Linked DNA regions of Callithrix jacchus. The protein of the gene in region 1 purifies or fractionates together with the protein of each later gene. This does not show direct contact. Links are inferred from orthologs where the notes say so. Each region holds a gene or a part of one and is shown in the gene's direction. Other genes may lie near its edges.

Region 1 (3,752 bases):
TTTAAAGACACATATCACAGACAAATTTGAAAATAAAAGTTATAAAAAATGATGTGAAGGTAAACTAATATTTGTCTAGCTGCTATCTCAGCACGAAGTTAATTAGATGTTGGAGAAAAGCAACAAACAGTTCTTAAAAAGGGAAATTTCACATGAATTTCTGTTCAGAAACTTAGTAAACAGTCTGGCTTTAAAACAAAATCCCAGGATCCTTGCAGATCAGATGGCCACCTACCCTGAAAGTGTAAAACACAGAGGGAAGGGAAGTAGTGTGCCCTGTGGAGGAAAGAGCATCTGCATAAGAAAGTAGCATCCAGCTTGATGTGAGTAGGTGAGAGGCAGGCATCAAGTTAAAGATCATAAAATAGCGTTGGATCCAAAAAATACATATTTCAATGACAACTGAATATCCTAGCATGATTGTAGTCCTGCTTCTCAGTATGTGGTCAACAGAATTATTGCATAGTTTAATATGGAATGCCCTCCCAGCAGCATCTAACTTTTGGGGTCCAGCAGTCCCAGAACTCAAATATTTGTTGATTTAATGAATTATTATAAAATTCCTCAACCAGAAGAACCAAGAGGTGGCTGGTTAAGGATTGAGAGTCTCAGTAAAATCTATTTCTTCTACTATGAATAACTACTGAATAATTTATATATATGTACATACATATATATATTTAATGTGTAATATATTCAGTGTGTATGCATACATATATATATATATATATGCGTGTGTATAGATATACACAGATAGAACAATGCCAGGCTCTCCACCAAGAACTATCCCATTTCAGATAATAAATAAGTTTTCTGGACTATTTGTACTTAGATGGACAAATGCATATTTGATTTATGAAAATCAAAGTATTCATTCTTTTTAGATGTACATACTTTACAACCTTAACTCTCTCTGAAAGTCTAGAACTTAATGATTACCAATGTAGGTCTGGGGGCTCAAAAACCAAAATGTGATGTCAAGAAAAAGTGAAAGATTCTCTCCCATGAAAGTCACAAGAGATGAAAACATGCTGAATGAGCCTAAATGGACATGATGGAGTTATGGATGTGGATTAAAACTGAGAGTGTTGGAATATAAGGATATAATATTGATTTATGAAGGTGAACAGTCAAATGTTAGTGCAGGATCTGAACTGAAGGGGAAATAAGGGTCCTTGGTGGCTGAGGAAGGGAGGAGGGTAGAAAGAGGTGGTACTAGGGGAAGCAGCACACAGGAAGAGGCAATATCACCCGAGACTAGATGCTGACCATCTCTGGCAACCAGGAAAAGGCAAATACAAAGAGAGATGTGTGACAATGCCTGGTATGTCTGGGGTCAGGGGACACTAGCAGGCACTAGCAGGTGGCTGCAACAGGGCCGCAGGTTAAAGTGGTAACTGGGTATCTGAGTTCGGCAGTGACGCGCGTCCCTCACGTGACCAGGAGCCTATGTCTGCCCAAGTCCCTCTCGTCCTGGTCTTTTTTGCCTGTCCACCATCTCCCTATTACCCTTTGGTCGAGAGGGAAAGCAGAAGAAAGTAAGTTCCCTCCACCCTCTTAAATCGATGTGAGTGTCGGCGCTGCCTAGTAACCCTGGGAAGGGGGTTGACAGAATCGGGATGGCGGAGTCCAGGCCTTTCCCTATGCTCCAGCCTCTCGCCCCCCGCGCCCACATTTCTGTGCAAAAAATGGTGGTGGAGGAGGGGTGGGGAGGTGAGTGCCGCCCCGCCCCCCCGGGAGGGAGGTACAGACACTTGGAAATAGTTTCTAAGAATGCTTCGTTTCCACTTTCCCAACTGAAAAGAAATGGCAAGCTTTGCGGGGTGGGGAGGTGGGGGCACGGAGTACGAAGCTTGATGCAGGGTCTGAGGCGAGAGGAGAACCTGAAGGGGGGGTGCAGGCAGTGGCTGGTGCCCAGAAAGTCGAGGGTGGGGGGTGTCAGTCAGTCCGTCCGTCCCTCCTCCCCACTCCCCGCCCCCTACCCTGTCTTGCGTCTGTGTGCAGGTCTGCTGGTCACAGCGAGGCACCTCGAGGAGAGGACGGCTAGGAGCATACGACCCGGAAAGGTTCAGGTCAGGAAAGGTGGTACGCAGTGGACTGGGACTGGGGCGCGAGGGTGGACGCCGAAAGGCAGGGAGTCTGCAGGCCGCACTGTCCCGCCCCTGTCACTGCGGGCGAGGCCTGTAGCAAAGCCTGCTGGGAAAATGGTGGGTTTTCGGGAAGGAGGGGGCGACCGGGAAGCTGTGGAGTCGGGAGAGCCGGAGAACCACCGGGAAAGCGCTAGGTTGAGGACCTGGGCCCCGAATCAGGATAAGGCAGGTATTGGAACCAACGGCCTGGGTGTTAGTCCAGCCGCTTAGTATTCTGACTCTTATTCTGCCTTTCTTGTCTCCTAAGAATAACTGTGCTTGAAGAAGAATATTCCCAACATGGACAAACCACGCCAAGAAAATGAAGAAGAGCCGCAGAGCGCGCCGAAGACCAATGAGGAGAGGCCTCCGGTGGAGCACTCTCCCGAAAAGCAGTCTCCCGAGGAGCAGTCTTCGGAGGAGCAGTCCTCGGAGGAGGAGTTCTTTCCTGAGGAGTTCCTGCCTGAGCTCCTGCCTGAGATGCTCCTTTCGGAGGAGCGCCCTCCGCAGGAGCCTCTTTCCAGGAAGGACCTGTTTGAGGGGCGCCCTCCCATGGAGCAGCCTCCTTGTGGTGTAGGAAAACATAAGCTAGAAGAAGGAAGCTTTAAAGAAAGGTTGGCTCGTTCTCGCCCGCAATTTAGAGGGGACATACATGGCAGAAATTTAACCAATGAGGAGATGATACAGGCTGCAGATGAGCTAGAAGAGATGAAAAGAGTAAGGAACAAACTGATGATAATGCACTGGAAGGCAAAACGCAGCCGTCCTTATCCTATTTAATGTGTTAGGCCTTTAATTCTGTTTTGCCTGCTAATAGTATTGCCATTGCCACCTGGACTTTCTGTTTGCATTTTCTTCATGTCTATTCCCCTATTCTGAATTTTAACTTTTTGCGAGGCTTTATTTTAGATGTTTAGTTTGTAACTAGCTTAAAGTTGGGGTTTCCCCCCTAAAATCTGCAAGTTTCCCCTTTCAATCATGAGGTCTACACATTTGCATGAAAGATGTACATTATATATTGTGAAATGAAAAAAGCAATTTTCAAATGGTATGGATTGTACTCCATTTTTGTAAAAAATGTATATATATTAATATGCAAAGAAAAAACTAAAAGTATATACTTCAAAGGCATAACAGTGGTTATCTGTGTGATAATAGGTGATTTTAAAAATTTTTTGCTTTATCTGAATTTCTCATTTTTTCAAGACAAACACGTTTTGCTTGTGTTGCAAAAAACATATAATGAAAAAATATCATGCAATTTTGAAGAAGACTGTCAATCAGCTTATAAAGACAATGTGGCACTTAATAAATACTTGTCAGAACTTAAAAAACATAAAAGTGAATCCTATGTTTTTTGTGATCTCTTAGGCACAAATACAAACCACATATTGATTATATTTAATAGATTTTTTTCTCTTTTAAATAAGAATAATACCTGCTTTACAGTGCTACTGTGGGACCAGATGAGAAAAAGATTGTGTGAGCTGTGTTTGAGGTTTTTATTCTACCAGCAGAGGCAGGACCCTAACCCCCCCCCCCCACTATAGATTCCCTGCAGACACAGGGGAAGGTACCCAAAGGAGATCTCACTTGTGCTCACAAACAATTCCGGTGAGATTC
Region 2 (2,725 bases), about 51 Mb from region 1:
GGCATGCGCCTGTAATCCCAGCTACTTGGGAGGCTGAGACAAGAGAATTGCTTGAACCCGAGAGGCAGGGTTTGCAGTGAGCCGAGATCACGCCACTGCACTTCAGCCTGGGTGACAGAGCAAAACTCCATCTCAAAATAAATAAATAAATAAATAAATAAATAAATAAATAAAAATACCTTCAGGCTGTGAGTGGGTGGGTCAGCGAGGGCAGAGTCAGGGAGTCTCAGGGGGCCCTGATCATGTATGCCTGCCATCCACCCTCCACAGCTATGAGGTGTCAGGTCGGATTGAGGCTATCGAGGGCTCAAGAGAGGACATCGTGGTTCCTGTCTACCTGCGGGAGCGCACCCCTGCCCGTGACTACAACAACTCTTACTATGGCCTGATGCTTTTTGGGCACCCCCTCCTGGTGTCGGTGCCCCGGGACCGGTTTACCTGGGAGGGCCTGTATAACGTCCTGATGTACCGGCTCTCGTAAGTGTCCTCTTCCCAGGGGCGGCAGGGGTGGTGGGGTCTGAACTCCAACTTGGGTGTTTAGCTGCTTATTTGACACCTCCCCTGCAACAAGCAAAAGACAGTCCAAATTTAATGTGGCCATAGAAGAACTTGTAGGGTGGTTTTTCTTTCTCTAGACCTCTGGCCTTGCTAATGCCTCTCTTGGGTGCTAGTGACACAGAGGTGAACAAGATGCACAAAACAGACAGCTTCGTCTTGTCTTCAGTTGTCTCTCTTGGGAGAATCTCGGTTTTTTGTCTTTTTGCTGACAAATTTTCATTGTGCCTAAAATCCAGAATCTTTACCATGGCACACAAAGCATTGTGTTACCAGGATTCTCCTCCCTCATCTTGCACTCAAGTCACTTCTCAGAGCCCTTCCCTGATAGGAAGTTACAGCCAGGCCAGCATGTGTCTGTCTAGCAGCAGCTTATTAGACTAAAAAGTCCAAACCCCACACTTTTTTTTTTTGGAGACAGAGTCTTGATGGTGGAGTGTGATTAACCTGGGAGATGCAGTGGTGCGATCTTGGCTCACTGCAACCTCCATCTCCCAGGTTCAAGCAATTCTCCTACCTCCGCCTCCCAAATAGCTATGCTTACAGGCGCCCACCACCACGCCCGGCTAATCACACTCCACACCTCTTGACAGGCACCCAAGTTCCTTCATTGTCAGACCACTGCTGACAGTGTTGGCCTCTTCATACATAAATGTATCACCTCCTCATCACTCTCACACGTCAGATTCAGAACGTTTTTTTTTTTTTTGAGATGGAGTTTTGCTCGTATCCAGGCTGGAGTGCAATGGCACGATCTCGGCTCACCGCAACCTCCACCTCCTGGGTTCAGGCAATTCTCCTGCCTCAGCCTCCTGAGTAGCTGGGATTATAGGCACGCGCCACCATGCCCAGCTAATTTTTTGTATTTTTAGTAGAGACAGGATTTCACCATGTTGACCGGGATGGTCTCAATCTCTTGACCTCGTGATCCACCTGCCTTGGCCTCCCAAAGTGCTGGGATTACAGGCTTGAGCCACCGCGCCCGGTCTCAGAACAGTTTATGTTTGGGTGTACCAGTCACCTCCTACTTTCAGCTAAGTAAAATCCTGGGCCCTAATTTACCACTGTCCTTGTACCCCTGTCTTGGGAATCTCCTCTGCTCTGTTGCAGACGCTATGTGACCAAACCCAGCTCAGATGATGAAGATGATGGGGATGAGAAAGGTGAGGGAAAGGTGGGAGAGAGGGTCGACAAGGATGAGGGTCTGTACAAGTCGTGCCATGGCCTGAGTTGGGGCGAGGGGCTGACAGTCAGTGGGCGGGGGGTCTGGGAGAGGTCTGACCCACACAGGGTTCATCTAGGTGTGATGGCAGCTTAGCACTTGAGGCTCACACCTTCCCATCTCTGACATCCTCTTGTCCTAGAAGATGATGAGGAAGATAAAGATGATGTCCCTGGGCCCTCAACTGGGGGCAGCCTCCGAGAGCCTGAGCCAGAGCAGCCTGGGCCTAGCTCTGGAGTCACCAACAGGTGCCCATTCCTTCTGGACAACTGCCTTGGCACATCTCAGTGGCCCCCAAGGCGACGGCGCAAGCAGCTGTTCACCCTGCAGACGGTGAACTCTAATGGGACCAGCGACCGCACAACCTCCCCTGAAGAAGTCCATGGTATCTCCTTTGGCTGTTAGCCAGGGCTGGGGACACCAGAGGGGAGATTTCCTGGCAGCATCCATGACCACCTCTTCCCTCACCCCCCAGCCCAGCCATATATTGCTATCGACTGGGAGCCGGAGATGAAGAAGCGTTACTATGACGAGGCGGAGGCTGAGGTAAACAAGATCCCAGGGATGGGGGGCACTTTCAGCTCTTGCCCCTCAACAATTTGTACGTCCTCCCCACAATTGCTCCAGCCAGGAACAGAGCCAAGAGCTCCAGCTCAAGCCTGGCCTTGGGGCCTGAACACCCACTGAGAGCTCCAGGGCCTGAGGTTCCTAGCTTCAAAGTTGGTGCTCTGACCCACTTGGCATGTGTCTCCCACCTCTGGGCCCCCACTCCCCTCTACCCATCTTCACACCCGGCCACCTGGCCATCTGCTCACCCAACCTTAGGGCTACGTGAAGCATGACTGCGTCGGGTACGTGATGAAGAAGGCTCCCGTGCGGCTGCAAGAGTGCATTGAGCTCTTCACCACTGTGGAGACCCTGGAGAAGGAAAACCCCTGGTGAGGGGCC
Region 3 (3,752 bases), on another chromosome or scaffold:
TTAAGGATTAAATGTGATGTAATGCCAAACACCAGCCTTTCTGAACACATGTCTTCAATTTCGTGTTTCCATTTCTTTTTCATTCAATCAAAATACTTCAGGTTCAGAGCACACAATCACCTCTTAACTCCTTTGTCCTTCAAAGTCACCTGCTCTTTCATCTCTTACACCATTCATTATGGCCTTCACCTACTTTCAATTTCCTTGTAAGCCTCAGAATACCTTCTCAATTTTTTTTTAAGAGAAAAAGAAAAGTCCCACTATACATTGTACATAAAGGTCTCTTTTGCTCCAGATTTAATGAACGTCATTATCCAGTGATTCCATGCCTTTCTTCATTTATCCTTCAAAATGGCGGCCTTTAGAAGTTCCATTATTAGCACCACGTGCGCCTGCGCCTCTCGCGGCCATTTCGCCCAGCAGCCCAAGCTCGGCGAAGCGCCTGCGCACGAGCCTCCAGAGCACTGTCGCTCCTCCCTCTAGCTGAGTACGCCTGAAACCGCACGTTCTCTTCCCTTCCCTCCCCCGCTGACTCTGCACCGCCCTCACCCTTTCCTGTGAGATTCTTCCGCCAAGTGGAGGGCTCATCTTCGGTCGACAGCCTACGCACTTGACGAACAATCCAATAGGCACTTACAGCTCAGGGTGTCTCCATTCATCCTTATCTGTGCGCCACGGCAATTTTCCTTCGGGCCCCAAAGTTGATAACCGATTTCGCAGGACTTTTTTTTTGCATACTGTGAGGCAACAAATGGAAAGAATGGGCCTGTGGCGGAGGGATCTCTCGCTTATTCTCTGTGTACTTTAACCTAATGGGGGTCGACCGGGAGTCGGAAGGGGGTGGGGAGAGGGAGGAGGCAGCCAAGGAATTGTTTTTTTCTCTGGCCCCGCCCCCGCCAGGCTGACCAATGGTGATAGTCTGTTTTCCCTGGAGCCTCGCCCAGCTCCTGTGTCTCAGCCAATGAGCGGCGGAAGCGGTTCCGAGGGGGCGGGTCCGGGAGGCTGTGCGTGTCTTGTGAGAGCTCTTGAACCAAGTCAGCGCTGGAGTCGGCGAGGCGGTTGGGAACGACGGCTGCTGCTGGTGACTCAGGGAGGCGGGAGGCGGGGTAAGAGCGCCGCGGCCTCGGCTGCGGGGACAGGGGGAAGGAAGGTGAAAGCGTTGAGCGCGCGGCCCTGTCGCGGGTTGGCAGCGGCGCAGGCCCGCGGGACAGGCGCCCGGGGGTTGGGGGCCAGGGAGCTGGGCGCCGGGGCGGCGCGGCGGGGCAAGTGCGGAATCGCGGGCTCGCCCACCCTTCCTCGCGGGGCCGCCCGGGGCGGGGACCGGGCCGCCCGGGACCGGCCATCTGCACCGGGGCCTTTTCTTTTTGGGGATGAGGGCTGAACACTTTCAAATCCGCTCGAGCCGCAGATAATTCTTCCTTCACTCTCTCTGCGTTTGCGTTTGAGGTGTTGGAAAAGCGAAACTTGAGAGAGCGAGGGTCACGCGGCGCTGGGTCCCGGGGTGCGGCGGGGAGGGCGCCGGGGGGCGGGAGGGCGCAGGATAGGGGCTCGGTGCGGGTACGCCCGGGGCTGGCCGCGTCCTCGCGCGGGTTCAGCGCCCTCCGCCCGCCGTCTCCGCCCGGCCCCCTCCCACCGGCCGCCCCCGTCGCATTTTGTTTTTGTGTTTTTGCAGGGAGGAGCCCTTCCTGCAGGCGTGGAAACCATGGTGCTCACGCTCGGAGAAAGTTGGCCGGTATTGGTGGGGAAGCGATTTCTTAGTCTGTCCGCAGCCGACGGCAGCGACGACGGCCACGACAGCTGGGACGTGGAGCGCGTCGCCGAGTGGCCCTGGCTCTCCGGGACCATTCGCGCTGTCTCCCACACCGACGTTACCAAGAAGGATCTGAAGGTACAGCCGGCTCCGGGCCTCAGCCGCCGGACGTTTCATAGTTACCTTGGTAACGCGACCATCGGCCCCCTCCCTCCGTTTTCTGAAAACGGAGACCAGAAACTTGGCATCTGATCTGAAGGTGCAGGAAGCTAGACCTTGAAAGTCTTTGGGATGGTTGTGTAGAGCCGGGGTGTGTTTGGCCCACAGCTTTTGGCTGCCTGGCTTTAATAATGGGCTTAGGGTTGTTCAGACACGCTTCATTAATGCCGGTGCTGTGTCCCACTACGACTGTCTGATCTTTTCTCCAGAGGAGGAGGGGTATTTCTGTTAGCGTTGGGTTGGACCTGTAGGTGACGTTTGGAGGCATTAAGAATTGAGGGTTAGTGCTTGGAAGTGTTTTCAGATAGTTTTGTTTGTTTGCTCCTCTTAATTTATTCACTCAACTTTTACAAAAAACTTTGCCTTGTTAAAAATGAAGTTAGCGTAGAGGGAGGAGCTTAAGTAATGTTTGGCGTTTAGGGTGGGTATTTGTCCGTATATGGTGGGTCAGGGCAGGAGTGGGTTCCTGGTTTTCTGTGATGAGCTTGTCGGTGGGTGTGGGATATGACCATATATGGAGGAATGGGGTGGAGCAGTCCCATATATGGGATATTGGAGGACTGACTTAGAAATACTATGCTTGGACGCTTTGGAGGAGGAAGAAAATTGGAAACAAGTATGGTCAGTGAATTTTTTTTTAATCATAATGACACTCAGAACCTTTTTCTGTTAGATCTTTTCATAGATAGATGAATTCTGATTGTGCTCCCTAATAGAAGTATTGGTGTGAAAGGATTGTCTGGGAACAACTAGTGAGGAAGCCATTGTACCAACAAAGACTCCTTTGTGCAAAAATAACTGAAGAAAGGTTCCTAAGAAAGACTCCAAAGTGGTGATAACTTGAAGGAAGCTTGTCAGAAGATATTTCCACCCTGCATAATGGATGTGTTTCAGTATCTTCACTTGACCATCATCTTTGCTTTTTCTTAAACTATGGTCAAATAAAGGAAGCAAGTTTTAGCACTGGCAGTTGATATGTTGATTTCTAAAACACTGTTCATTTGAACACATTCAGGGTGACCGTGCATGCCCAAACCGGTATTTATCTGCAGAGTTGTGGGGAAAGGGTATGCTGTTATGTATTAATGCTTCAATGTTGTGCCTTGTCTCATGTTGAAAAGGAGGAGTGACCAAAGAGCATTTAACTGTGTGCCAAGCACTTCACAACCATGATCTCGTTTAATCCTTGTAGGAGTTCTTGGGGGTAGGTACTAATATTGCCCCCAGGTTTATGGATGAAACTACTGTGCCTGAGGGACCTTAAACATCTTGCCAAGGACACATACCTAGGAATTGACATAGCCTGATAGCCTGTGTTTTGTCTAACCCTGGAAGTTTCACTACAGAAGCTGCCCTCTTAATCAGCCAGCCAGTAATCAAGAGCTGTGCCACAACAGAGTTCCTGTCATGCTGTGAGGTTTGGTTTTTTTCCCTCCATTCCACTCATTCTCCTGCCAAATCAGGTTGTGATATTTATAGAGAGAATATATTGTGGTGCAAGAATGGCAACCTTTTTGCTTGGGGCTTATAACCTTTCTACATAAGATAGGCTTTGTCTACTAGATTTCAGTTATGCTTGTTGTGGTTTATTTCACCTGCCAAGTAAAATTTTCTCTAGTGCATTTGTTTTTATGTGATTTGAATGGAAACAAGATCTTATTTAAACTTTCCAGTCTTCAGTTCTTTGGCAGATGTTGAGAGACTAGGCGTTCCCTGCCCTTCTCTGGCGGTGATTGAGAACCTGTTAGGTTAGGCAAGCAATCTAGAAGGAACTGTCTATGTA

The links.
Region 2: the proteins of TCEAL1 (region 1) and USP11 purify together in Homo sapiens (affinity purification with mass spectrometry; 4 studies listed by BioGRID, counting the BioPlex papers as one, with this or other methods). This does not show direct contact. The link is inferred for Callithrix jacchus from reciprocal best matches to the Homo sapiens genes TCEAL1 and USP11.
Region 3: the proteins of TCEAL1 (region 1) and KDM3A purify together in Homo sapiens (affinity purification with mass spectrometry; 3 studies listed by BioGRID and IntAct, counting the BioPlex papers as one, with this or other methods). This does not show direct contact. The link is inferred for Callithrix jacchus from reciprocal best matches to the Homo sapiens genes TCEAL1 and KDM3A.

Annotation. Positions count from the first base shown.
Region 1 is NC_133524.1:99,680,274-99,684,025, forward strand, and holds TCEAL1 (transcription elongation factor A protein-like 1), read left to right. Parts: upstream 1-1,478; 5' UTR 1,479-1,567; intron 1,568-2,004; 5' UTR 2,005-2,082; exon of another isoform or gene 2,083-2,085; intron 2,086-2,237; exon of another isoform or gene 2,238-2,319; intron 2,320-2,397; 5' UTR 2,398-2,429; coding exon 2,430-2,909; 3' UTR 2,910-3,470; downstream 3,471-3,752.
Region 2 is NC_133524.1:48,203,883-48,206,607, forward strand, and holds part of USP11 (ubiquitin carboxyl-terminal hydrolase 11), read left to right. Parts: intron 1-270; coding exon 271-477; intron 478-1,665; coding exon 1,666-1,718; intron 1,719-1,919; coding exon 1,920-2,162; intron 2,163-2,252; coding exon 2,253-2,323; intron 2,324-2,602; coding exon 2,603-2,715; intron 2,716-2,725.
Region 3 is NC_133515.1:26,553,846-26,557,597, reverse strand, and holds the start of KDM3A (lysine-specific demethylase 3A), read left to right. Parts: upstream 1-1,040; 5' UTR 1,041-1,106; exon of another isoform or gene 1,107-1,150; intron 1,151-1,672; 5' UTR 1,673-1,702; coding exon 1,703-1,888; intron 1,889-3,752. UniProt on the Homo sapiens protein: Histone demethylase that specifically demethylates 'Lys-9' of histone H3, thereby playing a central role in histone code.